Schizosaccharomyces pombe: one gene and its partner. The protein of the gene in region 2 interacts with the protein of the main gene of each other region in a biochemical or structural test. Each region holds a gene or a part of one and is shown on either strand. Other genes may lie near its edges. The genes, in order: scd2 and scd1.

Region 1 (15,947 bases), 1.1 Mb from region 2:
TCTATATGACATGGTTGATCACTTTGCTTTCATTTGGTCTTTGAACTTGCTTTGTTGCAACTATGTAATCAAGGATTCCCTATTATCACCAGTTCCCTGATCTTAGTTGACCGTGGTGGATTAGTTTGTCACACTTGACGTGTATTTTTTTTTTCTATTGGTTCAAGGTTTTGGCTTTGGTTTTCTTTGTTTCTTAATAATTTTATAATTGTGTCGAACCGATTAAATAACTTAGAGGCACTTTTCATATATGGTATATACATGGAATTAGTATATTTAAAGAGTTATTGAATATTAAATATAAAAAACTTCTAATGACTAATCGCGTAAACTATAATACTAGAAAAGAGTTCGCTAAAAAGATTTTTCTGTATTTTAAAAGAAGCCGTAAAACTAGAGCATCGATTTTGGTCCTTCAAGTAATAACTTGGCTTTAGACGTTTCCACTTTCCTTTGCATATACATCGATAAAAGTACAAGTAAAAGGGAGTTCAAAGAGACGCTTTTGGTCGTCTCTGACAGTCTTTGGAGAGAAGCTTACATCTCGTTCGCTTGAAGCAAAGACAAAAGTAGACGTATGTACTGGAATTGCGAAGTGGTATGAAATTAAAGCTTTTATATCTAACAGTTTCCAATTATAATGGAGCTTTAATAACATTGTCGCACCTGAGTTAATTGACGATATTTTGATGCCCTTTGTTATGCGATTTTTAAGAATGCCAGACGTCCAGTCATTGATTGAAGCTTCCAAATGGAATTGAATGCTTGGCAACTCGTGAGATTTCCATATTTCCTCCCAGAATGGCTCTATTTTCGTAAGCTCTTCAACATCCTTAATTTCATTATCAATCACAAGCTTCCGGATGCATGAAGTGTAGTACAACTCAGCATCCAAACGCTCATTAGGTGATATATTCACATCATTCAATTTTACAAGAGAAGGAATTCGCGCAATCACCAGCAGTTTAGCTATATCAGTAGGTTTATTAAAATAAGAAAGTGTTATACGCAGGTGCTTTAAGTTTTCTAATGTACGAAGATGATCCAGAGAACGAATATCCCTAATGTTGTTTTCTGATATGTCAAGGAATGTCAATTTGTGTAAAGTGTGTACAGGTAGTTCTGCAACATCAGCGAGGGAGGTAGAAGATAAATTCAAATTGTTAATTCTTTAGATTAGAAACCTAATTCGTATTTCTCAAATATACTTACCCTTGGAACACATCAACTGCATAGCCATCAGCACTATAAAGATTGAGATTATTTGCAAGACTTAACGTTTGAAGGAACTGCAGATTTTTAAAAGATGTTGCTTTTGATAAAATTATTTCATTTGCTTCAAGGTAAAGTACTTCCAAACTGGGAAAAGTCTCTGTAATCCATTGAACATCTTTACTGTTTAGGCCACATCCATTCACTGAAAGTTGTGTTAAATGAGGAATTAAAAGAACGGTATTTGAGCTAATAAAATTTGAAAATAAGTTTGAACTGAAAGAGTTAGAATATACGTGTAGAGATAAACAAAAACACATGCTCTAGAGTTAAATTTCTTAATGAAGGAAGCTGGGAACACAATTTAAGGATTGGAAAAAATTCATGAAACAAATTTCTCGATAAATCTAAGTCGATAACTTCTACAAATTCCGTTAACATTTAGTTGAAAATAAGTGACATACCAGGTAGTATTTTAGAATACTCGTACTCTATTTCAATATCTTCAATCCTATAATTGTCTAGAATAATAACGCGCAAGCTTTTTAAATCTCTTTGCTTGCTTTGGATTTTTTCGAAACCACAGAATTCTACCTGTTTTCCACTTTTAAATTCAACAGAGGAAGGTAGGGGACTTGAATATGAATATTTTTCGTAAAGTGCTTCCAAAAATGTTCTGCATGGATCAAAAGGGAATCCTTTGTCTACAAATATTTTTCCTTCTTTTACAATTCTAATAGTTTAGTTTCTTGTCGTCAATAACAATCTTACAATGGTTTTTTGTTTCTCCAACACGTTTTAACAAACTGTTTTGCATTTACGTTTTTATCAAGTATGACTTGGTATCGATCATTGTTTCCTTCGATGGTTAATGTTACTAAAGTATTAGATATAGAAGCCCTAACCATTCCAGTGGATATATGCATTATTAATCAACGTGGGAAAGAAAATGGATTGCTATAAAAATTTGGGCAGTTTAAGTTTTTTGTTTCTTTCAAATTTTGTCTTTTATCTACAACAAAAAGTTTTAACCGCACTTTTTCTTTGCGACATAGAAGTGTTCAGTACGTAGTGATAATATAGATGGCATCAGATTTGTTAGGAAAATAGTTGGAAATACTGCTTATTATTATACGGGTTTTGATTCTAATGTCGATCTCATTTTTAAATGTGCTGCTTTATTAAGTCTCTCAATGTTAATGTAAATAATCTATTGTTGGCTGCATACCTCGTAAAGTACAACTTGATACCAATGAATATATTAATTATCAAACAATGCGTTTAAATGTATCAAGCACCAAGCACGATGTAGATTGGAAGCAGCACTATCGAGAATTATCACTTTTTTAAATGAACTGTACATAAAGGAAATGTTGCTTTTTGGGGGCGAGAACTCCATCCTGGGAGAATTCGCAATTGTTGATCTGCAACCCATTTGAGACTTCTAAAATTTACCTCGTGAATGGCAAAAAATTCGATCTCTCGGAGAACTTTGTCATTTGATAACAAAGGAAAAGAAATTATCTTTAAAAAACGAATTGCGAATTCAGTTCCCATTTTTTTGCTCAATATCGAAATCAGAGTTCTGGTCCAGTCGCTGCTATTACGGAAACAATCAACAATGTAATCAAACTGAAGCCCAGATAACCGTATATACTTTAAAGCATAACTTAATTTATTTTTTTTTAAACAATAACAAAAAAATCTGGGCAGGTTTTTTGGCATTATTTCGATTCCTCGTTTTCTGTAAAAGTCTTTTACTTCGAAGGAATTCACACCTTGTAGTAATAATAAATTAATCTTATAACGACTAACTTCGTTTAAATTTTTCTTTTTGTTTATATAATAAATACAGGCATTCAAAAAACCTTGATTCTCTTGCATTTCACCAAACATCTTCAAAAGAGAGAAAATAAAATTTTCCGGAATTTGGCCTTTATGCTCTTCCCAATTTTGATTTATTTCTTGAAAAATTAAACGATCTTTAAAGACGACAACGTAATTAGCGAGTACATTTAGCAGGCTATAGCAATTTAACAAAAAAAGCTGACGAATAGGTAAAACATGCTCCAGTAGTTTTTTGCAATCTTCTTTCTTTCTTAATAAAATAAAACGAGAAAGAAAAATTGCTTGTACGTCAGCCAAATCAGATAAATTGTAGTGATCTCGTATAATATGTAAATATGCGGAATAGACCTCCATAGAGCCTTCTACTATATTGGAAAAATTTTTGAAAAAAGAAACAAAAAACTCAATTTTTACCGGCCATCCCTTATTAAATGAGTGAATGAGCCACATTTTAAGAGAGCAGCTATTTTTAGCCGAAAGGAGAGATATAAAGACTTTATCCAGAAACTGTTCAGATGGAGTTATCCTTTCATTATCAATATGCTCCATAAGCTGAAAAAACGCACGTAAACGTAAAAAAATTTCAGCCTTCTCCATCTTCGAAAAAGCAATAGACGGTGGTAGCATAGAATTAGCTAACATGCAATGGCTCGAATTTCCATGGAAAAGACTGTAATCTCTAATGAGAAGCAAGAAAAGTGTGCGGAAATCATTAAAAGTTTTTGAATTAAGTGAAGAGCGAATATTAGCGCTTTTCAGCAGTTTTTCAACTTTGTGGTACGGTCCATCTTTTCGAAAATATATAGAAGAGAATGAACTGTCATATTTAAACAGATCAATTGTTTGCAAAATTATTTTTAAAGAAGATTTTAAGTCAGTTCTACTCAAATTTACAGTAGATACGCAAATATTCAAGGCAGCTGAAATAATGCTCTCCAGAATTCGCTTTTGCCTTTGCAAATCCGGATCTAAACGAAGCACATTATATACGAAATTTACCAGTACCTTTTTTTCGTCAGAATATTGTGAGAAAAGCAATTTTGAAAAACCATTATCTTTCGGATTTGAATAATTCGTAAACATTAGCAACTGATAATACAAGTTACTATTAACCTCAAAAACTGGGTAAAACGGATGCAGAGCTTTCAGACATTTGTTATATATTTCTGATAACTCACGTTGATATAGCAGGTCATCATCATTATAGTTTTCATAATCTCTCCAGGCCAAGGTAGAGTCTTCAGAATACTTTCTTATTAAAGATTTGAATTGTAAACTTTTTTTTGCAGAGAAAAACCGTCTGCTTAATGAAGTATTGTCTTCAAAGTACGCTTTGCAAGTGCAAAAAGAAATGTATAAGGGTTTCGACTTGACAAGAAAAGCACTTGTATTTGACAAGTTTTTTGACACTTTGCTAAGGGTTTTCAACATAAACGCATCCTAGGTTTAATCCTTTATCAAATTAATCTCCAAAGTATTCTAAGTATAAACCGATCAAAGTATCTCTAAATACAACCAACTTCAATAAAATAAAGTAAATAAAGGTTTTTGGTACGTGTATTTATGTCAATCTTTTGAACAATTTACGCGAAACGTAATAAGATTTCCTGATGTTGGCAGTTGTTGGTGGGAGCCTATTACACGTCGAGAATTTATATACATTTTTGCAATAATAAAATAACTGATGCTTAAAAGATTGTATTTTAATCCATTACTAAATAATTACTCACCATTGAAGCTAAGAAATCCGGACATGAGAAGTACACGATAGTAATCTTTTGTGTGTATGTTGTTTGCCCAATTCCAGGCACTAGTCAAACGTCCATCAATACAACTGCCAGCCTAGAGCTAGTTAGTAATTAAACAGATATATATATAGATAGATAATTTTAACTTACATCAAACCAATTGTCTGCACCAGATCCATCAAATCCGAATCTCATAAAATCGGTTAAAATAGTCTTTTTTAAATATTCTCTGCCTCCAAAAGCTGTATCAATGTAGTTAAGAAGAGAATGGTCATTTAAAGAATCTAACTCCTTGAACAATAGAACCAAGGGTGTTAAAATCCTTGGCACTTGCATATACTTGTCTATAAACAATAAGGCATTTGGAACAGCGGTATCTCCGAGATGGATTGTTGAACTTCCTATCCATGTTTCAGACTGTTCTTGAGCCGTCCGCAAAATCCTTTCCATCGCAATTCTAATGTTGGGACAAGGCTGCATTCTGTGTATTCCTTGATTGTTATCAATTAGCTTATACTCCATATCTGGGTTAGTTAACTCCAGATCACTAAGAGCCCATAATGAAAATATTTCTCCCATAATTAAAAGCCAAAGATGCAAACTTTGCACAACATAATGGTACTGTTTGTAATGACTATGCTTTAGTCTTGAGCCATTAATGGCATCAATAGCAAGAGTAAACTCATCGTCCACGGTATCTGGAGAAAAATATGCTTCTACCAAGCCTATGAGTTTGGCAATTGGATCACGATTATATCTCAAGTAACTGTTACTATCAGCAATAGAGTAGAGACACCATCGTACTTTCTCTTTTGTAATTTTGCTGCTGTAATACTTTTTTGCAATATGTTCAACAGCTCTTTCTTTCGCTTTAATATCTTTTTGAATCGCTGAGCGTGATCTATTTTCAGCGACTATTTCCATAGTAGCAATTTCGGCATAAGGATCTTCTAATGCGTTCAAAGCATCCCTTTCATTCAAAAATTCATAGACAGTCAAAATGGGTTTAAAGAGGTTAAATCCAAGTGCGTCTTGAATTTCTGGTCGCATAGAATCTTGCACAAAGTACATCAATTTCCCATAAGTAGACCCCAGTCGGTTGGGATTTAGCACTTTATAACGTCGACCTATTTCAAAAATCTTTTTAAAAAATTCGGCATGTTGTTCAAAATTTTTATGCTCAAGCAATTCTTGTCCAACTTTATAATCATAAGCAACCATGATACCCGACAAAACTGCAGTAATTCCTTTCAATTGCTGAGCCAGTCTTTTCGCTGGCGACGAAAAGCTTAGGGTATCAACGCTGTCGGTATAATCACTCACATCCAATGCAGCAGTAAGTAAATGAAGAAGCTTTCTTTCTTCATATTCAAGTCTCAAAGGAATCACTTTGGCCCTTTGCAACAACACAGGAGAAGAAAATTTCTTTTCAGGTGATTCATTACCCGTTTTAGATTCATTGGGGAGAATGGATGACAAATACAAATTCCTTAAGGCTTCAGCGTCCATGTCTATGTAAAGAATACGTTCTCATGAATTAATCATACAGGTATAAATTAAAAGGAGGAAGTATTAAAGTGAGGGAATCTTTAAAAAAAAATTTTAATTTAACATGTGTTTTTGCAATGTTGAAATAAAAGCAACTGCACAGCTGTAATTTATTGTTTTTTGATCTATATCGAAGGTTGGGCGTTCACTACTTGTCACTTCAACAGGTACTATTTTCTACCGCTATTTTAGATGCCACCATTCTAAGTATACGGAAAAGGAAATTATATGAGCATTTTTTATTTTTGAAATTTGATAAGCATTAAGGAAAGTATGCATGTAGTAAAGCAATATTTTAGATAAACTAACAAGATAAAGCGTCTTTAGTATTGGATTAAATGTATGCAGCATGTTACTTGTGGTCACATTAAATGTAAGAAATAATGTATACATAAATGAAGTAAATGTATAGAAGAAAGCGTTTCCGGCTTCCAATATCTAATTGTTTAATGAATCAACAGGTAGTTTGCAAAATTGCCTTTACCAAATTGGCTGTATATAATATACGTGATCGATATTGTAGCTGGTTCATATGAACCAATTTATTACTGCGACATGATATTGTATTACCAAATCTGCGTTGATTCAGCTGATTAAGACGTTGTCAAGAAATGTTGAACTTCTCGCAATAAAAACGTTTTTATTTTACTACTTAGGCTTACCTTTATCCCCTTTTGAAATACGTCAAATACATATATGTTTGGAGGAACAGTATCAAACAACTAATGAAAATATTCAATTGAATGATTGTGAACAAAAAGGGAGTGCATAGTTGAGATTTTTTGTTTATTTTACCTCCAAGAAAGCTAATATATAAGGAGAATAAACATTTTGCATCTTATTCGGTCGTGATTAAATACTATCCAAAAACGCATACCTCTCGAAAAAACAGACAGATATATTAGAAAGATAAAGAAAGCTATTATACCGATGAAATTAAATTAATAAAAGTAAACCATGAAAGAACGAAACGAAAAAAAAATAAAATGCAAGAACGTAATAAGAAACCCAAATCTTTAAATATACATAGTCTCAAAACCTCCGTCTTTCTGCAAAAAGTAAAACTCCTGATTCTTGAGAACATGCCTTCCGTAAATCGTCAACATTATTAAGAGGTAATACTTTATTCGCGTTCGTATCTCTGTATGACAAATGTTCACATTCTCCGAGTTTATTAGTCAATCGTTCACAAAAATCTTCAAATGAGATATCAGAGGGAACGCGCAAAGCAAAGGTTTCATCTCCTAATCTGACTTTAACTTTGCATGTCGAACCTGCAGTAGTCGGAGCTGATTCGGGAATAGAGATATTAGTAGCTTTTTCAGGAGCTTTCTCTGGCAAAGAGAAACTTAACGGTTCTCTGGGTAAGGCTTCAGGCATCGTACTAGTTGGATGAGGGGACTCAACGTCTCCGTCAAGCGGTAAGAAGAAAAGTTTGACGAGTTCATTTTCGAGTAAACGAGCTGGAAGCCTGCACATTTCCTTCAGATATACATCTAAATCCATTGCCCTTTGTGAAGATATTAATTCATTAACGTCATCAACTGGACCGGGCATGTAAGGAATAACTCGTCTTTCGTCCCCACGACCAGCTTCATTAGGAAATAACTCTAAAAACTTCGTCTGGAAATTAAAAAAGTCTTCGTAATATCTACAAAGGTTTCGATGTTTTCCATCACTCATAACGGCACGGACCAAATACCAATATTGGTCATCGCGAATCATGTAGTTTTCCACCATTGCAGCAACAACGGTAGGTTCAGAAGACATGTCTTTCTTGTTCTTAGAAGCGATGCTAGCCGTACGCGACTCCAATGTTTGCAGAGGTGTTAATTCGTTAGCGACGGAACCAGGAAAAGTGCTTGAATTGTCAGTAGCAGCTTGATATGTAACATCGTTATTAATTTGTAAATTTTCAGTGCTTGGACTTAAGCTAGGCATAGTTTGAGTTTCACCATCACTGAATTTCCCTAAAGGAATACTACTCTTTTTATAATCAGCAGCCGCACGTTTCCAATCCTCTACACGAGGTATGCAAGAAATACGTAAAACAGCCTCACTAACGTCTTTTATCACAGCTCCGGTTTTTAAATCTCGAAGTTGTATAAATGAAAGAGGAATGAGACCTGGACCCCCTAATCGTCCTATAGGTTTGGCTACTAACCACTCATGATTTGACCGAGCAATAATTATAATAGCCTCACCCGCCTTGGCTTCAAGTTCATCTGGTCGTTCAGCAGCAAAATCGAATTGCACAATTCCAAATAGCGGCTGTGAACCAGAATGGAGTTCACTGATTGAGCTCCTAGTGGTACTAGAATTGGTGGTTAAGTCTGTAAATGATATTTGCCCGCTGCCATCACTGTCTCGTTCCGATTTGACCGTTTTTCCTATCTCTTCAAAATGAGATACTGGAACAAAGCCACGAGTACCTGCAGCGGGATTACAAACTTCGTACCAAGCCTTGTCATTTTCACGACCTATAACATGAAAAAAGTCACCCTTGGCAAATGAAACTTCAGTTGCTTTACGAGCTGTGTAATCATAAAGGGCCCTAATAACTTTTCTCGGGGGTTCAATTGAAAAAGGATCTTTATCAAGAATTCGACTATGAGTTTTCCAAGTCCTTTTAATCTAGAGATGGTTAATAATTGATTAATTAACAAAAAATTTTTTTTGAAGCATACCTTTAACATAGAGACTGGAATTAGAACAAAAAGAAAGAAGGTAGTAGAACAAAATTTGAAATTATATTACAATAATCTCAGAAAGATTCTAACTATTAGAATTCCCTGCAACAAAAAGATTTAACTTAATTTTCATAAAACGATCAAGTGGAAATTATAATTACAGACAAACTGTTAAAGCGATAACCTACTGTAAGGGTATATGAATTAAGATCCGAGATAGCAAAAGGAATGTATGAAGAAAAGGCAAAAAGAATGGCACGGATTTAAAGAAAGCAATATATTGTAAATGAATCAATAATTAATTTCCAAACACTTTGAAAACGCTGTCGTTTTTATGAAAGATGAGTATACAGGATATAATATTCTCACAAAACAGACAAAATCGATTTGTTAGCACGTTGTAATTAGAAAGAACGAAGAAGCTAGCAGACACTCAATTATAGTGACTGAACTGCTGAGCCCTGAAAGATAGATGAAGGAAGAAAAGGACGGGAAAAGAGGCTTAATATAGAACAATGAGAGTTGGTCCAAGCAGCAAAGTAATATATTAGAAGAATACAAACTCAACAATTTTAAACAAGGAAACGTATTAAAATTTTTCCCAACTGACTCTCTTATTAATTTCCCTCTTACCAAGTATAAAATTACAGATCTACAACTTCTATGTTCAAGTTACCTTTCAGTTAATTCTGGAAGTGAATTTTGTCGCGTAGCATTGTAGTTCACTATCGTAATTATATTATAATGAGTATTAAACAGTTTAAAGGATTACGCGCTATTAGCGTTCGCTATGAAAAATAGATTCCGTAGTTACCCAAATATAATGTATACATTTGCTTTACAGAGCTTAACTTAGCAATGGTATAGAAGGAAGAAACAAACGTTCGTTAGTGCCGTTAAAATATTAAGACATAATTTTGGTTGAATTGATACAGAGTATCTTTTTTTGCACATAAAACTAATTTATTGTGGAAAAGAATCCACAATAGTGGACGATTTTCCAAGAAGATGATGCCCTTACTCTACGCTAAGCAAAAATAGCTGTTGAAAATAAATCAATTTATGATTTCATTATTATTCATAACAATCATATCTTAAGAGTTGAGTTGTAAGTAAGAATGCTCTGTAAAAAAGTAGCAATGTAGTAGGATCAAGACATCAGGGCGATTCGTTGGTCCATAATAGTATTGTTTTCTCGACTGATGCTTCGAAAAACAATAAGACGAGGCGGACATTGCTTTATGGATGAAATATTTCGTCAAGGCCAGAACTACAGTCCGTAAATCTCATATAGATTACTTCGAAGCACATTTGCAAGAAGAGCACTTGCAGTTATCAACAGCGCTGCTCTTGCAACCACAAGACTCTTTGCAATCTTGGCAACCGCACTTGGATTGGCAGTCGCAAGGCTTGCCTTGTTTGCTCTTACATTGGGTAGTGTGTTCCATCGTTGAAAGTTTGTTAGGGTGATATGAGTTGTTGAAAGTCGATTGTCTCAAGCACGCTTAAAGTGGTAAAAAAGGTGAGAGTAGGGTGCCTTTATATACATTTTCCAAGCTAAAGGATTGACAGTATCATGTCATGTCGATATAGGATCTGCAGGGATATTTGGAGAGGCAAATGCATATACGTATTTAGATGTTTGTACACAAATCATGCTGTTGTTTCATGGAACCAAACAAATGAAGTGATTGGACTTTACAAAGCAAATGAACATAAATTTATGAATAATAGAAAACAATCTCATATTAAGAATGGGTTAGTTGTATCATATTCAATATTATATCCAGTTGGTAAAGGTAGATCTCTGCGTAGTACTGGTGTTGTTTTGATTCTGGGTCCTGTTAAGGAATATTAACACTTTACATCATCTGATACTCGGGTTCCGTTCGTATCGCCACAATAGTTCCCGCCAAAAGGTAGGTGCCGCAATGGCTTTACTCCAAGATTCTAAATTCATACAGACTAGCTATGCCTTCCAACTGAATAAATATCAGACTTGAGGGCATATATGAGGAGGGTGTGGCAGAATTCACTTTTGTCCGTCAAATTCACTATTAACATTGGTTATAAAATACGCAAAAGTAAGTCTTTACGAGTTTAGTAAAAGCTGAAACTGATAGTTCTACAGTTTTCCTACTTTCTAGAATTCTCTGTTTCTGCAAACTTTAACTTAAAATTACATTGAAAACATTGGTTAAATTCGTTTGTTTACATTTATTTCTAAGCATAAAGTTTTTGGATTTATGCATCTTATCTATGTTTATGTACTCCTTTATCAGTAGATTTTATATTGACAGATAGATTGAGTATATAGTTGTTTACATGTTTAATCGCGTGGTGAAGCTTCTAGCAAAATAAAACATCGAGCGTTTATTAATAGTGAATAGAAATTAGGCATAAGAACAACTGAGGCATTGCACAACTTATAAATGTCTACGCGGAAGCTCATCACGAACTTTTGGTATTAGTTATTCGTTACGCTAGTATTATACTCTCTTTTCCATGTTTATTTCTTTCGCTTGAAGAGTGGATTATACACACATTGTATCCACTTATTTGCACAGGAAGTATTACAAGTGGACCTTTTCAGGTTCGGTCAGTAAGTTTTAACGCATGCTATCTTGCATTTTAAACAACTTTCCCTTTAACAGAATCACATATTGTACGAACTTATGGGCCTAAAAATATACTTATTTTCTGTCATAAGTCGTCCAGTATAAGATAATATAGCATCATAATAAAAACTCAACTGTGGCACATATCGTTATATTGACTACCCTTCAGTAGCTAACATTTTACGAAGTATCATATTCTTCGTTATCTGCACTTCAGATGGAGTTAGTATACCATAGTTTTCGTAGCTTCTCTTGTCTTCATCCTGAACAGTCAGCGGTCTCAGCTGCTGCTTAGATCCATTTATATTTTTAAGAAATGAAAGAAATTTTCATTCCGAAAGAGTGTGAATGGAGATTTGAGGTCGACGAACCGGCAATTCAAATTCGAGTAAGTTCGTGGTGATATTGTTGTTTACGACATGAAGTAGCTTACTTTTGCTACTTCAGATTCTAGCAAATATTTACTTAATTTATTTAACTCTTTCTTTAAATTTTTTTTTTCTTTCTTGGAAGTATTTTCCTAACATGTTTAGCTCGTGTCTGGAAATGCAGAATATTTTGGCACTGAATTGGCTTTAGGTCCACCATATCATTTTACTCGTGTTAAAGGAGCGATATATACATGGCAGGGATGTACTTTAGAAGTTGAAGGTGAACCGTCCGTTGAGTATGTTGCTGAAGAAACTCCTATGAGTACATATCTAAATTTGCATTTTGCTTTGGAAGGCCTTAGATTACAAGCCGAAAATGCCGCTGCAAATGATGAGTCTTCATATGGACCGTGTGTTTGCCTCATTGGCCCAAGAAGTTGTGGTAAAACAAGTGTCTTGAAGATTTTAGAATCATACGCTTTGAAACAATCTCGACATCCAATTTGTGTTAACCTTGATCCTACTCAACCAATGTTGGCTCTCCCTGGGTCTATTTCTGCATTTCACAATGCCACTATTCTTGACATTCAGGATGCTGATGGCTTTGGTGCAAGCACATCTACTGGTCCTACTCACGTTCTTGCCAAAGTACCACTGGTATATAACTTTGGTTTGGATTCACCACTTGATAATCCTAAGCTTTATAAGCTTTCATTATCTAGGCTAGCTTTGGCGGTGCATTCTAGAATGTCCCAAAGTAAAGATGCCCGAGTGTCTGGTTGTTTGGTAGATACTTCATCCATTCAAGAAAATGCTGAGAAGTATCAGGATATCCTTCATTCTATAATTACAGACTTCCGCATTAACATTATTATTGTACTTGGTTCAGAGAGATTGTACAGCAGTATGAAACGTAAGTATGCTGATGCGACCTGGTTGTCTGTGGTGAAAGTTTCATCAAGTGGTGGTTGTATTGATCGCGAAGAAGAATGGATTCAACAATTTCAGGCTCGTTGCATTAAGCAATACTTTTATGGTGATGATCGGATGCCTCTTTCTCCTTTGTCTATGATAGTTGATTCCACCCAACTGGTAGTGTATCGTGTTTTGGAGGCGTCTGAAAGCGGACCTAAGTCTTCTGTCCTTCCTTTAGGGTTTGAAGAAGAAAATACTCAATCTGAAAAGCAAGATGGAAATACATCTTTAAGATTACATGGCAAGGGCGAATTTTTGGAGCGAATTAGTACTGAAGCAATGACCATTTTACAAAACTCCATTTTAGCAGTTTCAAGTGTCGGCGAAGATGAAGATGAAGCAACAGTTGTTGACTCATGTATCATAGGATATGTGTTTGTTTCGGACGTTGATGATGTTAAAAACAGAATGACTCTTTTGTCTCCAGTTCCTGAACAACTTCCCAGCAATGCTTTAATAATGGGAACTTGCAAATGGCAGGAGTAAATTCAACGTTTAATGTTACACGAGCTTATTATACATGTTCCTAGAGTACTAAAAATTATGCAAATTATATCATTTATATATATTCGTTAGATAAACTTATTTTTTTGTTAAAAAACAAGCATGATGCGCTGTTCTGTAATTCTAGGTTTACAAAGCACGACGATTAATGAACGATGATTTGAAAATATTATATATAATGCCGACAGTAACTTCATAAAGGATAGATTGAAAGAGGCTAGAAAAAAATTAACATTTGTCAATTCAGGTCCAGCTAAAGGAAATATTCCGCTGTCACTTTTGCAGCTGGCTCCACAAAAGGCGTTTCTTGATTAGGAGCTGCATCAAAAACATTAAAAAATCTTGATTGATCTGTGTCGATCTGAAGGATGCTAGCCAAGTTGGCACATCTGTAACAGTAATTTGGGGCAGACCACACTGTCGATAATTTTTTTTCAAACAATATTTGATAACCTTCGCTGCATAGTTGATGAGCTCGTAAGATGTGCTTCATATTGTTGTATTCTAGAAATTTTGTTACAATAACTTCACCGAAAGAAAAACCTGCACCACGGGGCGAAAGTGAAAATTCTTGCACGCTAGGATCCGGATCCGACCACACGAGATCGGCCATAGGTCCCTCGTGTGGGAATTCTCTAAACCTGTCTAAGACAAGGATTTGATCTATGTGCTGAATACTAGGAGAAAGTCCACCATGAACACAAAAAATAGTGTCATCAATTGTTGCAGAAAGTGTTAGGAAATCAAAGATATCGGTAAAATATTTCCAAACATTAGCATTACCGTATTTTCTTAAGCATTCTGAATAAAATCCATAGGTTTGGGTTATTCCTCTGGACTCATGGTTTCCGCGCAAAAGAGTAATCCTCTTTGGATACCGTAACTTGAGACATATCAAAAGGGTTATAGTTTCTATACTATAATAGCCCCGATCAACATAATCACCTTCAAATAGTTAGCAACGAATAATAAAGCATGTGCTGTGTTCTCAATGTTCAGTTTTAATGATTTGTAGTAATCAGCTAATGTGATTCTAATGAACATCATTTTAACTTACCGAGAAAAAGATAGTTTGTGTATGGGCATGGGCCTCCTATACGAAAGATTTCAAGTAGATCATCAAATTGGCTATATACTTTGTAAGCAGAATGTCCACAAAGAATGAACTTTTTGCAATATTGAATCTATGCATACCCATGAATATCACCAACCACGGTAATGGGAGTAGACAACCTGACAACATTGCTTTCTTGCATTAAAACTTCCTTTGCGAGAGAACAAAGATAAGCAATAACGGACTCAGCAATCAATTGTTTTTCATATAATCTCTCTATTATGTTATCGAGGTCAATCATCTTTAGGAATTTCCGTGAAACTAGTGAGATTTATTAAAATACAAAAACAATGTCTTGCACCGTTTTGTATTGGATATATATAATTTAAGAAGACACAAACAGTGCTTGGCTAGGGAAAATTTCACCCAAGGTTTGTATCAGTCTAATCGGCTTTGACCGGATACGCTTCGAAAAACAAAGGATTAAGCACTTCTTATATGGAAAGCTTACGCGTTACTTCTCTTTATTTGCACGCATTAGAAAAATTCCACTAAAATGTTGTATGTGTCAGTTTTATGAAATTTGGAGGTTGGTTTCTGACTTGTCAGTGATCGAAACTACACGATTAATACATAATACTGTGTAGTTCGCCAATGAGATTTTAAGTTAAGAAAGCCTCTAATGGTATACCCAAAGAACAAAAATTACATAATGCTTGAAAAACGTGTTAAAATTCTTTCAGACATTCTATATGAATATCTGTCTCTTCTGCTGAAAAGGTTTAGTGCTTCTCTCGTTTCAGACCATCAGATAAATATTTCGGTTGAAAATAAGCGATAATTGATTAGGTATATTCTTGTATTCAAAGATCAGTCGGTCATTAAAAAACTCAGTTATGCAATACATTAAAATATAAGGAAAATCAAGAATGAAAATAGTAATAGTTACATGGCCTTTCTTTTTAATTTTTTTTTTAAATGAACAACAATACAAGCAATTATTGTTTCAATTAACACTATTTTGTTAGACATTAGCAATTTAAGTGACAATGTCACCTATTTACCATCCACTTCTTTGAACATGAATTTCCTAGTAACATTTCACTCTTAGTAGTACCTGCATTATACCTGCATAAAAAATTATTAAATACAGCCATTTTTAAGGGGTTAACTATACCCGTCTGTACATAAATATATTTATTATTATCTACTTTCTTTAAGCAGATAGCATCAAAACCTACCAATTGTTTAACGTCTATTATCACGCTAAATGGTTGAAAGCAAAATCATTAAGCTGCTTGAACAAGTGCAATCTGCTGATCCTAATTCAAGAATACAAGCCGAATTGGGGTTACGAGACCTTGAGAAATATCACGGTA
Region 2 (16,540 bases):
CTTTTTTGCAATAATTAAAGCAATTTTGACTCTCCTTCTCTCTCAATACACTATTTACAAAATCATCATATAGATTCAAAGTTAAGTACAAGAAGCAAACAAACCTTTTAACAAAATGGATAAGTGTTTGAATATAAAGTAAATAATTACCAGAATTGTCACATTTAAAAGCACCGAAAGAATCCTCATTGCTAATTTGAATACTGTATTACGATTATGCAAACAATTGAAGAGAAGGGACACCAACGCTCGTTTTTTCAATATTATTATGTAAAAGGAAAACTAAACGATTTTTGATTAGACAGTCTCTCCCATCTCATTCCTCGACCACTTTTTAGCTCACATGCTTTTACCTACAGAAAAGCAGATAAGACATCTGCAACTCATCAGCACTCCTACATTCGAAAATTATCCACCCATTCAATAAGGTCGTTTTTTGTACTTCCGCTGTAATGATAATACAATACTATTGAAAAGTAATGTAAAACAAATTAATTCAAATCAACTTTTTTTAAACCCTGGGAATATACACCCAATACGCACAAATATATGTATATTGCTAATTAATAATTCCCTTTCTTCAATTATAAGCAAATTAGCTATGCAGCATGGACCTTTTAAACTCCAAAGTTATTTTGTAAACAAAGAGCGTTTTTATCATTTAAACACTCATGCGAGTTTTGGCGCGAGTGCTACCAGACTTGGAAGAATCTTCATGAGCGCTAAATTCTATAGTTTCCGATCGGGGTAAGTTGAGAACTTGCTTAAAACGAGTACCAATTTCCATAAGCACTTCACGATTGTTGCAACTCTTGGTCCAAACTGCTAGACGGTAAAATCCTTTACGCATGTTAATAACTACACCCATTACTTCTTGGCCTGTAGGATCGAGAGTTTCACCGATGGCCGCGAGAACCTAGCGATATATTAGCTGCGAACCAAAAATTAAAAAGTAAAGAAAAGAGTGAAAAAACTGTTTTTAGTATTCACTTAAAATAAAAATATTACAAAAAACCTTTTTCTCATAGCATTAAAAACAATCAAACCTACCGTAGTTAACCACATCTCATCTAAAGCGTTTCCTCCACGGCCTTTATTCTGAAAAGCCCATTTACCTCCAGTCTTATTATGGACGTCTTCCCATTCTGGACGAACTCCTTCACGGAAAAAAGAATAATCAGACTTAATAGGCAAGCTAGATGCAGGATTGATATTGTTATGGATTCTGAATCGAATGTTAGTAATGTTAAAGCAATTTATAATATCACAATAATGAATAAGCAATTTACTTACCCCCAAAACTCTTCTACGCTATTAAAAGTAATTATGTTCTTTTGCAGTTCATTCCATTCCAAGCCAGGAGTAGGTGGCATTAAAAACCACAAAGTCCATGGTCTAGCAAGAGGATGCTTCAAATTAAAATTTATTTTGTCATCAAAAACCGTCCGCAGAGCTTTTTCTTGCGGTTCTGACACGGTATTTTCGGTCTGTGACTCTTTTGGTGGTTGTTCAGTCTGCATGGTTCTGGCTAGAAAGAATGGACCCCGAGAAATTTTATAGCGATGCGATTGAGTATGTGAAAGCTTACAGAATTTGGCTAATTTAATAGCTATTGGAATGGAGTTCAACCAACTGTAGATGGAATGCTTGGAGGGCTGGGAACTGGTCGTGTATGTAAAAGAAAATTTACCAAGAGAATTATATTTTTAGAAAACGGGTGTAAACGTTCAAAAGACTCAATCTCAACTTACTGTTACATCTCTATCTTTTTTTAAGACTATTTATTTAAATAATTTGTATTATTAACATTCTACAGATTCCTCAAACTGATGTAGTGGGATCACGAACTTTTCTCAATCGTCTCAATTATCGTATAGGAAAAATCGAAAACTTAGTGGCCGCTGATTGTGGTGCAGGTATAGGAAGGGTCACTGAAAATGTGCTTTTGAAGATAGCCTCTCATGTCGATCTTGTGGAACCTGTTGAAAATTTCATATCCACGGCAAAAAAACAGCTTGCAACCAAGCCTTGCTCTTTCATAAATGTCGGATTACAAAATTGGACTCCAGAAAAAAACCGTTATGGTATGTATATCAGTTAGATGCTTTTATTTTGTCCAAGATGAGGCTTAATCTCTAGGATCCACTTCTTTGCTTGTCATCTTAACAAATTTTAACAAATTTAGGGCTGATTTGGAACCAATGGTGTTTGTCCCATCTCACAGATGAGGATTTGATTGCCTATCTTAGCCGCTGTTGTGAAGCAATTCAAGAGAAGGGAGTCATTTGCGTAAAGGTTCGTATCCCATATGTGAGTAGGAAAAAACTGACTTCTTAGGAAAATGTTTCATCTTTTGAGGACACCTTTGATCCTATTGATAGTAGCGTAACACGTTGTGAACAGTCTCTGAAGTCCCTGTTTAAAAAGGCAAACCTAGTAGTTGTAGCAGAAACTCTGCAACATGGCTTTCCTGAAGAATTGTTTCCTGTGAAAATGTATGCACTTGTTCCTCATTCCTCGTAAATTTAAACTTGTTCGAAATTGATGGTTGACAATTGAAATAAGCGCGAGATTCTTACTATTGTTGAAAAAGGGACTACCAAAACCAGCTGAAACAGCTTTGACTTTTACAAAAGTAATAAGAACAAAAAGAATAAATATTTTTATTTTATATGCAAACATAAATTGAAAAAATGAAACGTTATTCTCGTAAATGTGTAGTAAAAATATATCAGTCTGTACCTAGTGAACCAGAACTGCTGGGAACGACTGGTTTTTTTTTCTTCTTCTTCTTACTTTTAACAGAATTAGACCTGACCGTAGAGTTATTAGGAAGAACGATGGTTCCATTCTGTAATTCTTCGGATTGGCCCATTTTTTGAATCTCCTGCGACGCAGAAATAGTAAACATAAGGTCTCTAAGTTGCTCATTAAGATCATTAATTTGAAATTGCATTGAAACGATCTGATCGCTCTTTGTTGTATTTTGCTTTTCCAATGTCTGAATGCGAACCAGCAAATTTTCATTCATACTTTTTTCTTCTTCATAATTATGCTTCAAATGCTCTAATTGAGACGAGACACGCTTAAGCTTGTCGTCTCTTTTCTTTAATTTGGATTCAGAAATATCCACGCGAGAACGAAGATCTGTATTTGCATTTGAAGAGGCCGTAGCTATTTTGGTCTTTAAGACGAGTTCTTCATTAACACGGCTCAACTTTTGAGACATATTAGAAAGATGAGATTCGTAATAAAGGCGCTGCGACTCTAGTTGTGATACCAAAATCTGCGTATACTCTAGTCCCATCTTGTCCCGCAGTTTTGATTCCGTAGCGCTGGAACCAGTCCAGCCTGAAGACTTTCCGTCTGTCGACAATTCTACCAATTTACCATCTGTTTCAGACTGCAATAGGCGATGAACATAATTATCTCCAGCGTAATCCCAAACACGTTGTGTTTCAAGTTCCATAGCATAACAATGAGCGGTGTCTACATAATGTTGCTTAGCATGTGCATCGTGGTATCTGCCACATCCAATGTTACCACAAATCAAGCAAATCCATAAATCTTTATCATAACAGCATACAGTGCATTTGCTCTGAAATTCAGAACTCTGTACTTTTTGAGTATAACGACATACAGGACATGATGAATTTCCCCATTTTTGCAAGCATGGACAGTGAAAAGTATGCTGGCACACAATGGTAATTAAACCAGTAATTGAAGAATCCATACGTTCTAAACATACAACGCATGTAGGAAGCTCGATAAGGGCAGGAGTCGTAGAAGCAAAAGGTTTGGAGGAAGGGCCTACTAGTTGCTGCTCAGTTGAAGAAGAATCAGAGCTCTCCATTGGATATTTTATATTTACTTTGTCAATATGTAAAACGTGGCAAGTTTCAGGATCTATTTGGCTAAAAGCTTTGCCATTGAACTCTGTATAGAACCTAATAACACTTGCTTGATCCTTGAATTTCAACAGCGCCATGATCCGATTTGGATCTTTCGTCTTAAGAAGACGTATATGCTGGATTGACTTGCAATGTTTCTCTCCCAAAAAACCCAATACATCGGAGGGCGACATATATAAGGGAATTGCCAATATCGCAAGGATTAGACCTGGCGCATCAAATTCATGGCTTTCTGAAGGAAATACCCTGTATAAATGAACGACGCCATGTCCAAGAGATGTCTCCTCAACCTCAGGAACTTTAGAAGATGGAAAATCCATTGATAATAACTTTATTTCACCCAATCGAAAATTAAAATGATCGCCTCCAAAAGAATTACCAACAACTTTAGATGCTCTCCTTTTATTACAGGTAAAAATATCTTTTACAGGAGACTCACATTCAATTTCTAAGTAGTAATACATGCATTAAACATCAATACTTGGTAATGGCTCTAAACGACTTGGCATGGTGTTAGTAGAAATAGAATACCTGAGGTCTGTAATGTTAGTAACACCAAATCCTTTATTATTTTTGAGAAGTTTTTAAATTTAAGTGAAAAATAAATAATTTTTAGATGAACTACGTAAGAACTTTCATTTTAATTACTGGTAATAGATACGGATCAATACGATTAAAATGAATCCTAATAAATAATGATAAAATGAGCAATTTTATTAATGGATTTATTCAGCTAGAAAAATAGCATTAATTTAAAATAGAATATTCACTCACTCTTGAAGCCTGCATGGTGAAATTATACATGAATTTGAACATGCAAAAATTGAATTGAAAACTTTTCATTTTAGGAATTCGTTTTCTTTTACAATTGGTCAAGTGTCTTACAAAATCGATTCTTTAAGAGCTATGTTTCTATGCAATTACTTGTCGGTCTCGCGTTGTATACTTCTAGGATAAGATTTTAATATGATTCCAAGAACCGCATATTTTATAATATAATAACAATTTATGTTGTATTCTGTTTCTGCCCTTTTCTTCCCGTCGGTTTAAAAAAAACAATTAACAAGCATGTATTTAGTATATTCTGGGGGTACCATTCAGGAAGTTCTCAGATTCTCAGCCCATTTAGAAGGAGATAGTTTTGAATAAACTGGGACCATCACTAAAAAAATAATTTTGTATTCTTAAAAGAACCAGAGGTGCCAAGCAAGCGTATGAAAACATGAATGTGCTTAATTAAGCTGACGGATTGGCCATTGACTAAAATGCAAGCAACCTTTTGAAATGAACATACTTTAAAATGACTTGAATTTTTTACTTTATTATAAAAACTGATCACTGACCCATGAGGATCCCGTATTTCTTCGGGACGATATTTTCCTAGTTTAACGCATTTCATGAACGACCACTACCAACTAGGTACAATAGTTCATACTCAAGTAAAAGAAGCTAGGTGTGTTTTGGAGAACAGCTATATAAAATAAAGTTTTGAAAAAGCTTTGAAGCAAGCCTTATAAGTGGAAAACCGAGATTCTTTGGTTCGATTGCACTTATATTACAGACGTAAACAAAAGGAAGCAAAAAGCAATGCTAACCTTGGGCAAGTAATAAAAGTCAAACTAGAAAGAATCCTCATGAATAGCTGTATATAATCGACAAGTCGTCAGCCATGGCAAAACCAAAAAAGGAAAATGACTTGGATCTTCTTATACAACTTGCTGACGGTAATAAATGAACATGTGTAAATAAATAATTTTCTTACATTATTTAGCATTGGAAGCTATACCGGGTGATTTATCCAAAAATTTTACGGAAGTCCGTTTTTTAGAGGCTGAACTAAAGGGTAAGTGATAGTGGCATTATAGATTGGGATTTTTTGCTTGAACAACTGTGAAGGTTTTGATAATAAACAAAAAAATGAAAGATTACTAGTGAAACCGTTCTGGTGTTGATTTTCTTTGTTAATGTTTAATCAATCTGCTTAGGACTTGTTTGAACCTTGAATATGTTATTCAAAAGGACTTGAACGCTACTGAGGCTTATAATAAGTTTATGTTGTTCTTATCAAAACTTGCCTATCTAGAGCTTGCCTTTTTCTGATTTAAAATGATTAACATGTTCAGATGTGTATTCACAAGCTCTTTCTTCAATTGATGACCTTCTTAACAGAGATACTAGTGTTGAACGTCGTAATTTAGTCGCTCGAAACTTATCATTACTGTTAAAATCCGATGATGTACAAACTCGAAAAAAATCCCACATTGCAATGTATGCAGAGGCAATTACTCATAGTAATGTTTTACGTTTAGAACACTGTTATCAAAAGATGGAAATGAAATTACCAAATTTTTTTATTCCTTTCACTCCAGAGGTTATAAAAGAGCAAAAAACTTCGAGACCTATTAGAGCATCCCGGCGGAGAGCCAATTTAAGGAATCGCCGTGCTAAAGAATTGCTAGCAGCTGAAAACGCATCGGAGGAAGGAGATAAAAAGCAAATAATCACGGATTCTGGTAAACTACCAGAGACAGAGGAATTAACCGAGACCACAAATGAAGACCTCGACATCAAACAATTCTCTCCCTATTCTTCAGAGAGCAGTGCAAACGTTTCTTCTTACAATAAATCTTGAAACTTACGTAAAGCCTTATATTATTAAAATTCTTGCTTTTTTGTTTTTCTAATTGAAATACACTAATAATAGTTTATCCGGGATTAGCTACTAAATTCTAGTCATTCAACAGAAGTCACTTTGAAAACATATATAAACTCATGTCTTTCCATACTGATTCGAATGGAGGTAACTTCTTTCATACTTAATGCTACGTTTAAAGAGTTTGCATGTTTTGGAAACAATTACTTGATAATACTACCAGGAATTATGTTAGAAAGGAACGTATTTAGACATTTGAATTACTCTACAAATTCTATTTGTAGCCACTATCAGTTTTTTGGCGGACATTACGAATCTTTTGAACTTTTAGTAGTGATAGTTTATTACTTTTCACATGTTGGTTCTTTCTCTTTGGCTGAGATATATCGTATTACCTGGGATAAACGCATTGTACTTTATGGAACAACAACCACTCTTGTCTACTGCTCTGAAGGGTCGGATTGATTGCGTATATGATTAATTCATATTGTATTTTTTTAAAAATAAAACAGGGCTATAGTTTTAGATAACTGTCTCTTATAGGTTACCTATGTTCATAGCTCAACTTAATGAGGATATATTTACCCAAAATCTAAGTGTATATGATTTGGGACATCAAGAAACCATTCAAAACTTTTATTTTTCTAATGATTTTCGTAGTTTCCAATGTTCATCCTGTGTCTAACAAATCTTGATAATTTCGTAAAAGACTAGCGGTGTATTCCACAACTACCAAAATATCTGATGGGAGACAGGGTAGAAGCATTAGCCATATTCAGAAAAAAACAAGGTAAAATAACAATTAAATCAATGATTCTAACATGCAGGCGTATTATCTATCGATAGTAGATTAAAATGGACGGGGGAAGGGAAAACAACACCATCAGTAGATATTGCTTTTGATGCAATTTCGAGTAATAATAATTGTTGCATTTTCGAGATTACTGACAGATTGATAGATCTTCAAACTACTCCAGCGTCTAATCCAAAAGTTATGATTCGTGTTTTTATAGTAGTAAAGGAAGGTGAAGATCCCACTTCTTTAGTATTTCATTTCACCGGTACTCCTAATGCCAGAGAAAATTGTGATATGATTACTAATGAGTTGAGAAATGCGATACAAAGACAAAGGGAAGGCTCTCAATCTAAACCACAAGGAGCCAATGTCGATCGTGTAAATTCTACGAATCTAGAAAAGGACATCGACTTACAAGAGTCTTTGCTTACTAACAATCCCGATCTCTTACAAACATTTAAGGAAGCAGTTATGAAGGGACATTTAAGTAATGAGCAATTTTGGAGCACAAGGCTTCATTTGCTCCGCGCTCATGCTGTAGAAAGGTCTCAGCAGCGTGGTCCTTATAATGTCTTGTCTACTATTAAACCTAAAACAGTGGACAACCAAATGAAAGTTTCCCTTACCGGCCAGCAAATTCACGATATGTTTGAACAACATCCATTGCTCCGAAAGGTATATGACAAGCATGTGCCTCCTCTAGCAGAAGGAGAGTTTTGGAGTAGATTTTTCCTTTCCAAGCTTTGTAAAAAGCTTCGTGGCGACAGAATTACACCAATGGATCCCTCTGATGATATAATGGATAAGTATTTAAAAGATAATGAAGGTAATTTCTCCAACCTAGATGAATTCCATTTCTAACATTTTCAAGAGGTAACCAAAGTATCGGATGAACCTATTGCATCGCACCTCTTTGATTTAGAAGGAAATGATCAAAATGCAAATGTAATAGCAGAACTTAGACCTGATATCACTATGCGAATTGACAAAGAAGCTCTACCGTTTATGAAAAACATCAATCAGCTTTCGGAAAGACTTTTGGAAAAAAGTTTGGGGTATGTATATTCGGTTTTATTAATTGTTATTGCTTCGGTATGCCTAACAACTTGTAGAAACTCTAAACGATTTAACAACGAAAATGAAGAAACATACTTAAAAGAATCTGGTTTTCACGATTTAGAAGAAGAAGCCAGTGACTCTAAAGTTGTCTTAAAAATCAAAGGTCAAGATCAGTTATTGGAAAATAATTTTGTCCCCTCAAAAAATCAAGTTGGTTTAGAGCCTTTGCCTTCATTGGAAGCTCTTCAACATTTATACCAGGAAGATTCGATAAGCTTAAATCACATTGAACATGATTCTGACTCTTTGGCTGAAGCCGCTATGCAGCTTACTCAGAGTATGCGCGAAAAGCATGAGTTTGAGACCCACGGCACTGCATCAAATTTACCTATTGACATAAAAAATGAAATTGTTTTGTGCCATACCGTTACGATAGAATTTTTGCATCAATTTTGGAATGCCTTGTTGAATACAACTTTCCCGGACAAGAAGGCGATGGCCCCCCTTCAGAATGCTCTGTTAAATTCGAAAAAAAGGGTGGAGGCAATTGCGAGCCAGGCTCAGGAACAAAACGTTGATCCAAAACTGGTTTATGAGGTAAGTTTTTTTTGTAGAGATTTTGATTATTAACTAGGATTAGTTGGTATCCTGTACGCTCACTTCTATTGATACGTCAATCTCGGAGTATCAAAGACGAATGTCTTATCCTCCTGCTTAGGTTTGATAATGTCTTTGGAAACTCAATTGTGCTTGTAAAAGGTAATTGTTTCTGTTTTTCCATATAGAGGTTAATGATATATTGATATATTCTTTATTGGACTTAATGTTCTTTCTTCATAAAGGCTGGAAAAAATGAACATTGAAATGCTGGATATGGCTCTTTTTCTGTTTATACAACTCTTGAATTAAAAAACTTTTGTTTTGGTTTATAGATTCAAAAGACAATCAAAACTGTTTTTAGATTACTGTGCTCATAGGCCAAAATCTAATGTTTTTATGTCTTTATAGATTTTATTATTTATTAAAATTCGTTTTATGACACGAATATAGTATGTTATAAACTGATGTTCAATTAATTAATGTCCCATAATTTCTCTCTTTTGTTTTAAATGCTTGTTTTTACAATTTTTCAATTTATCGCTTCTCTGTATATTATATATAACTTTTTTTTTTACTTTCTTTCAAGGTATCAGTTCTGTATGATCCCAATAAAACTGTGTCTAGCTCAAGTATTAAATTTGGATACACAATTAATGATGAATATTTTAACATCGATTACCTAATTTATCTTATTTCAAGTTAATAAATAAATAGCCAAACGACTTTGAAATGTAGCACGCTAGCGCCTAGTTCCCTTCCCTTTTCTTTCATTTATCCATAGTGTATATGTACTAAGCTTAAACATCTACGCACACCTTAGCTTTCCTACATGCTTTGATTAATAAGAGTAATTGTTTTAAAAATTTCATTCAAGAAGAAAGAACAAACAATAAAGGGCCATGCTACGACTCATAAAGCAACCTTTGTTTCGATGTGCGAGTTCGGGACATTTGATGAAAGAGTCGCTTGTTTTTATCCATCAGACTCGTACTTTTCAAGTTGGAAAATTTACCTCAAATGAAAAATATAATGAAAAAATTGAAGATATCAATGAACGTTCAAATCCACAATGGGATAATGCGGGACTCGAAAATTTACTGAATCAACTTCAAGATTCTGTCGAACAGTCTGCCTCCGACGATTTTATGGGTGAATTAGAGAAAAAAATTGAAGTTGAAAATGAAGAACCGCCGCTAATGGGTACAAATCTGTGGCCTTCTCCGTCAAGTTCAATTGTAGGGTTAATAGATCGACCATTTCAGGTCGACTCTACAGTACAGCATTTGGTGAATTTAATAATGCGAGATGGGAAAAAAGCTAAAGCTGAAAAGATTGTTGCAACAGCGCTCTCTATCATACAAAAAGAAACCGGTGAAAATCCTATAGATGTTTTGAAACAAGCAATCGCTGAGATTTCTCCCTTAATGAAGTTGGTACGTCGAAATTATTGAAAATTTTGGAATTTTTTGTGAATTATTTCTTTTTATAGTGTGTAGACGGATTTGCTAATATTTTGATAGGTTTCTGCAAAGCGATTTAACAAAAGTGTCGAATTTCCTATGCCATTGAAAGAGCGACAGCGAAGAAGGATTGCGTTACAATGGATCCTCGGTGAATGTAAATCATCAAGTCCTAAAAGATTATCAGATCGTATTGTTAAAGAAATCATTGCTATCAGGAGCAAGACAAGCAATTGTTTCAAAAAGAAAGATCATCTGCACAGAATGTGCCTTGTTAACAGAGGTAATGCACCCGTTCGTATATAAAAACAAAAATTCCGTACATTTTTATCTTTTTTATGAATTGCATTCCCTTTTAGTAATGTTATTTTTGTCTAGTATATCGAGAATTGATTACTCTTAGTTATCAACTCAATTATACTACGTAGTGCGCAGTTAATCATATTCATGTTTATGAGGTTATAGTTTGGTTGTAAAATAACTTTCATAATATTCATCAACATTCTTCTACAGCTCCTTTTCAGTTAACGGAAATGCTACAGAATTTATCTTCTATGAAGTATATTGTTGTTTTTTCAAAACAAAGAAGGGAAAGTAAATTAGTTCATCGACTAAACTGTTAATTTCCTCTATATAAATTAAATTGACAATGTACAGCTAGCACAATGCTAGTTTAGAAATAAACAACAACGTGCAAAGACACAGTATCCATTCCTTTATTATGGACAGGATCCATAAGTTCAAACGTGCACGTTTCAAATGCCATTAAAACGTCTTCATCGGATGTGATGGTTATAAAATCGCCATCCTCATCAACATACTTCAGTCTAACCCGAAAAGGAACAGCTTGTTTCAAAATCCCACAAAGCTTTATTTTATGTTCTACCTTGGCTAACAGCTCATCAAATGTTATATCATGAGCAACAACCAGGACGAGACTAACCTCATGTAAACGGAGACGAATTTTAACATTCGTGGTATTTCGAACTGATAGGGAGGTAGACGTGGAACTCGAGCTTAACGAAGTATGTTTAGTAGAAGGGAGCAAACTACCATCTGATTTCATACCCGCTGAATATGAATATTGACGAGGTCTCATTACGTCGCAATCATTAGTAGTAGGTTGATCAAAAATTTTTTGTTTCGTTGATGAAGATGTATCTTCAAAAATGCTGACTGAAGACCCATCATCAGTACCTGAATACACCCTAGTTATATGACTTTGACGATTGTAGTTATAGTCGTTCAATAGCGAATTGACCTGGCTGATACGAGAGATTTGGCTAGGAATAGATGCAGTCGATGAAGAATCGTTACTAACTATAGTTGATGTTGTTTGCGAAGTACGAAGGCTACTGGTACCCACTGATTCTTCGCTGTTTAAACGAATGAAATCCGATGGCCTTTCATCAGTTGTGGTGGCAGACTTTGTATCCTTAGAAGTAGTTTTCGTGAACGGACTAGATTTGGAAGAGGGACTGGAAATGCTTGTAGGAGAATTAACATTTTCGTCAAGAGAATGTGTACGTAAAAGATCATAGTCGGAGGAGTTGTAACCCTTTGAAGTCTGAGAAGAAGAACGATTGTAGACAGGGTTAGCAGGGGTCGAAGCAGCACTACGAATATCCTTTGGAGATCCGTGCTCGTTTTTCCATAAAAGTCGATTAAGAACGGACATCCATAGTTTATGACTTTCTTCATTACGTAACTTAAGAATAAAAGATTCATGTTGAGGATCACCACGCCAAAATATTTGAATAGCATATGAGCCCATGTGATGGTTGGGAACCACAGTAGTGATGTTGGATGTCAGAATTCTTCCCTTCAGTTGAAGACTATCAAGACGTTTAGTTTTCTTGTTCATACTTATACTTCGGGCTTGCCGTTTCAGAGTTGACATTTCTTTACAACATAACAAAATTTTTTCAAAAAGGTAAACGTGATACTCTCTTTCTATATCGGCTTTGCATACATTAACAACATCCCAAACTAGCAGTTGTCCAAAGTATTGAAGAGAGTATCCTTTCCAATCAATCACACGTTGTTCAAGCTCAATAATGGCATTTCGGTTTTCATGAATACGACGAGTCTCATTAACTTGGTTTGCTACACGAACTACACAAGCCATTCCTTGTTTTAGTTCCTCTTCGTACTGATAACCTGAGGGAGTACCTTTTAGTAATTGATTCAAGAGAAGCGGATATTTACATATACGCTGTATAGGCTTAATCAGCAGAGCTGGTAATTCATAAGAGGGCTCAAGCAGGTTCGCAACTTTCAGTAACTGATTTTGATTATCAATGATCAGTTGTTGAGCATTCGGAAAATTTGTACAAAACACTTGGTAAACAGAAAATCCCTCTTCTAAGGCAATGAAGAGTGCGCCTAGTCGTTGTTCTTCTACAGGAAGCGAAAGATTCATCTCTAAACCAACCAAAAAACGTCTTTGAAAGTCTAAAATCTCGTTTAAATTCGTAAATATACTGAGAATAGTGTCCTGGGATAGAATTTGTTTTTGTTGAAGTATGACCATATAGTTGGACAAATATTCTAAATCTTGAATGTATTTTAATTCGGTTTCATATAATTCGGCAGTGACTCTACGGCCAGATGCAATCAAGCTGTTAAGAGTTCCTGTTGGTACATTATCATCAGTAGAAGGACTAGGAGTAGAAGATGATTTTGTGGTATTGGAAACTTCATACTTTTTCAATAAAAGTTCAATGGTTTGAAGAGCTCTAACAAGTGGAGCTGTCGAGGGTTTATAAATTTCTGATATGGAAAAAAGGGCGGCGTCTGTGAGTCCAAGTTCATTTTTACACATGAGCATGAAACGATATAAACTAGCTTTACACACGTTCGTATTTTCCAAAGAAACCGAACTATTAACTTCCAATTTTTGCTTAACTGGCAAGCAATTGAACAGGGCACACAATGGATAACCTAAACGACAAAACAGCCAAATTTCCGTAACTGGATCATCAAATTCAATGTCCTTAAATTCCAGTATTTTGAAAGAGCTATTCAAGGCTTCACGATGAATACTGTCAAAGAAAGCAGCCAACTCTGATATATCCATCAATCGCTTCCGGAGATTTAGACATCGTCTGTATAATGAAACCGTATTTTCTAAATTATAAATAACTTGTGACGGAGACTGTAAAAGCCTAAGTTTCATGTATTCTGACAGATTAGTCTCATCTTTACGAGGACCTACAAGGTTTTGGGTGCTGTGATTGATGTAAGAAGGAAGAGACCTAGAGGATGCTTTTAGAAGTTAGTTAGTTAATTGCATACACATAAATGGCGTTTTTGTGTTCTAAATTTCTTTCAATCGTTACATACTTTTGCGATCCTGAAAGTAGGCCATAACTGATAACTTCTTCTCGAGACTCCTTCCTAATGCAGTAAAATACAGAAAATAAAATTTCCTTTAACTGCTAGAAAAGTATAAGTACTCGCATGTAGTCCAATGCTTGAACAATTAATGGAAATTCAAACCAACAACCCAATTTCAAGATTTCTTAAACATAAAAAAGCCTGAAGTTTCTTTGGAATTAAATATAAAAATTAAAACTGACTCCAAAGTAAAATTGTCTAAAATAAGTTGCTGTTTTACTGCAATTGATAAAATCACAGTATGTATAGTTGACAAGGTACTAAGGTAATAGTGAGACACTTGGCGATCAGTTGAATCGAATAGCGTATCGTAAATGTATTACGGTAAATATACTTGTTTCTTCAGTTCATTTGATAGAAAATCCTACTGCTAAGTCTTTTGAAACGGAGATATTATGACGATAAAATAGCTGGCAACTGAAATTTCATTGCTAAAAAAATGAAGGGATATCTCCAACCATCCCAATATTAAAACGATTACAAAAGGCAAGCTTGCAAATTTGGTAAATAAATTAAGTAGAGCGATTGTTTTAGTAATGTAACAAGGAAAATCATGTATTGAACGGGAATTAAAAAAAAAATTAGTAAGACACAAATTTGGTAGGAAAGGTAGATGTCCAAGAAAAGAGTGAGGTCTTTAAAAAGGACGACGATGCTAAATAAACCAATTCAGCCTTTCAATTGATAAGAAGAGACAAAAAAGTTAAAAAAATTAATGTTAAGAACGTATTGAAATACAGTAGTAAAATGATAACGAATGGACCTGATGACTTAAAAGTATAAAACAGGGATAACGAGAGTAACGGCTTAATAAAAAGACTGAAAACAAAAATATTAAAGTAAAAGGAGTGAGTGCTTGACAGAAAGAACAAAGATAAGTAAGGGAAAATAGGAAAGATTTGAGGACTAGGACTCGGAGCACAAGTTTGACAACTTATCTGACAACAACTCGCTTCGGAAGAAAAATTGTCGTAGTTGAGATAATACATCTTGAGGAACAGAAGAGCTCATATTATTAGTGATATCACGTAAAAAGGTATTTTGTTCTGCACATAATCGTTGCCAATCAATAAGTAAAAAAGACAGTGTTTCTGTGTCAACGTTTCTTCCCATTGGAGAGGTCGAATGAGAAGAGGGACTTTCGGCAATTTCATGAGGAGATAATTCTTTTTTCTGTAAACTGTCGTTGGTATGTTTTAAAGAAGCCAAGATGGAATAAATAGAGGATTCAGAAGATTCGGATGGCTTTTCGATGAGACCCATCTTTTCAAGTCGTTGTTCCAATACTTGTACGCTATCATGAACTTCCTTCAGCATAAAAGAAGCTGAAGGACCAACCTTGTTAATCTCGTTTGATAAAGATAATGTACCAAAGCTCAAAGTGTTCGATAGAGACTTAAGATAACGTAACTCTGTCTCAGTGGATTGTTTCCTGATTTCTTCCAGCTCTTTCTTCGTATTCTCCATATCCTCTATAGGAGCCTTTAGTTTGGTTAATTTGTTCTCCTCTAGACTGCTTAACTTGGGTAAAGATTTGAGAAGCTTCGAGTACATCATTTGATATGCCAGTTTCTTTTCCAAATTTTCTTTTTTGGCTTTGCAAATTAATAATTTCTAAATTTTGCATGTTAACACACTGAATTAATGTTTCTATTTAAAACTTTACATACATTGTGCAATTTGCCAAACAAATTGGCTTCTAAAGGTTCCACTTCTTTGCTCTCACATATCGACTTGTTAATTAAAAAGGAATTAGCTGGAGAAAAGGCCATCGCGCTTACAGTCGAAAATATACTGCGTTTGGCACTAGCTTAAAACATGGAAGCTCCAAGTACTTACTATGAGTAGCGGAAATTGTGACTTGGCGAAACGAGTAACAAATGTTTATAACTATGTATTGTAAAAATAATATTTTATGAGTACGAAGATTAGTCTAAATGAATCGAAACTTTTTGAGGTAATTAGTAATTCGATTGTAGTTAAGGTATTTTATCTGAGAAACCGGCTTTCTAACGTTTTACAGCCACAGATCACTTAGACAACTGTTCTGATTAAAATATAACTTTTCCACGAAAGCTGATTATCACTTAGACCATAGCTAAAAAATCCTAAGGCTCTAATTGCATACTTAATAGCCAGCGTATATGTCACGAAGTATGATCTTAAATTATAAATCCAATTCAACACACTTCCGTGAAAGCCAAAGCAAGGGAGACCTGTAATCTTGTTTCTGTTTAATAAAAGAAAGCGGTAAAGAATTTTTTCTAAAAACATTAAACCAATTTCTTACAATGTTCGTTCTACAGTGTCTTCTCATTTTAATTTTGACTGAATGCTTTTTCGTCGCACTAAATAAAAGTCTACGAGATGAAATGATTGTATCAATTAAATACTTTATAGCAAACAGTAAGTCAACACTGTGAAATTCCATTCAGACTACCGCATTTCATTTTTATTTTTTCACAAACAGTTGTGGGGACAAATGGTTTTATTTTTTTAAGAAATAGAGAGTAAAATATCTTTCATCAAATTTATAGATAGAGATTCATCGTATTTGTCTCTCGAATCTAGACATTTAACGCACATTTTAGCAGAAAATTTTTATCGACTCAAAATCATTGTTCATTTCAATAACATTTCATTATTATAAAACGTAACTTAA

What was found.
Region 1: the proteins of scd1 (region 2) and scd2 form a complex in vitro, tested with the Schizosaccharomyces pombe proteins (2 studies listed by BioGRID, with this or other methods).

What each region holds. Positions count from the first base shown.
Region 1 is NC_003424.3:2,376,277-2,392,223, reverse strand, and holds scd2 (Cdc42 GTPase complex scaffold subunit Scd2), read right to left. Parts: upstream 9,721-15,947; 5' UTR 9,053-9,720; coding exon 9,044-9,052; exon of another isoform or gene 8,991-9,043; coding exon 7,389-8,990; 3' UTR 7,071-7,388; downstream 1-7,070. Other genes in the region: alp21 (tubulin-specific chaperone cofactor E), read right to left, coding at 434-1,169, 1,213-1,488, 1,535-1,634, 1,677-1,945, 1,984-2,138; protein Cbp8, read right to left, coding at 2,551-4,491; SPOM_SPAC22H10.08 (uncharacterized protein), read right to left, coding at 4,783-4,902, 4,959-6,317; metallothionein Zym1, read right to left, coding at 10,342-10,494; SPOM_SPAC22H10.06C (uncharacterized protein), read left to right, coding at 10,623-10,904; SPOM_SPAC22H10.05C (cleavage and polyadenylation specificity factor complex subunit), read left to right, coding at 11,981-12,052, 12,198-13,496; ppa3 (protein phosphatase type 2A), read right to left, coding at 13,768-14,459, 14,572-14,642, 14,709-14,869; kap114 (karyopherin/importin beta family nuclear import signal receptor Kap14), read left to right, coding at 15,839-15,944. UniProt on the Schizosaccharomyces pombe protein: Required for mating and morphogenesis. Interacts directly with scd1 and with cdc42. May bridge and facilitate scd1 and cdc42 interactions.
Region 2 is NC_003424.3:3,513,139-3,529,678, reverse strand, and holds scd1 (RhoGEF Scd1), read right to left. Parts: upstream 14,133-16,540; 5' UTR 13,850-14,132; coding exon 13,825-13,849; exon of another isoform or gene 13,747-13,824; coding exon 11,153-13,746; 3' UTR 10,945-11,152; downstream 1-10,944. Other genes in the region: translation initiation factor eIF4E tif45, read right to left, coding at 662-916, 1,051-1,225, 1,294-1,520; AdoMet-dependent proline dimethyltransferase tae1, read left to right, coding at 1,538-1,572, 1,610-1,670, 1,817-2,084, 2,186-2,295, 2,338-2,523; SPOM_SPAC16E8.13 (ubiquitin-protein ligase E3), read right to left, coding at 2,732-4,375; protein Png3, read left to right, coding at 5,581-5,635, 5,683-5,754, 6,035-6,543; SPOM_SPAC16E8.18 (uncharacterized protein), read left to right, coding at 6,706-7,029; transcription factor TFIIH complex subunit Tfb1, read left to right, coding at 7,309-7,354, 7,392-7,478, 7,524-8,186, 8,232-8,415, 8,473-9,016, 9,060-9,137; rsm7 (mitochondrial 37S ribosomal protein uS7m), read left to right, coding at 9,919-10,452, 10,540-10,785; protein Pos1, read right to left, coding at 14,785-15,492, 15,549-15,650. UniProt on the Schizosaccharomyces pombe protein: Required for mating and morphogenesis. May contain a cryptic binding site for cdc42 that is enhanced by binding Ras. Interacts directly with scd2. Promotes the exchange of cdc42-bound GDP by GTP.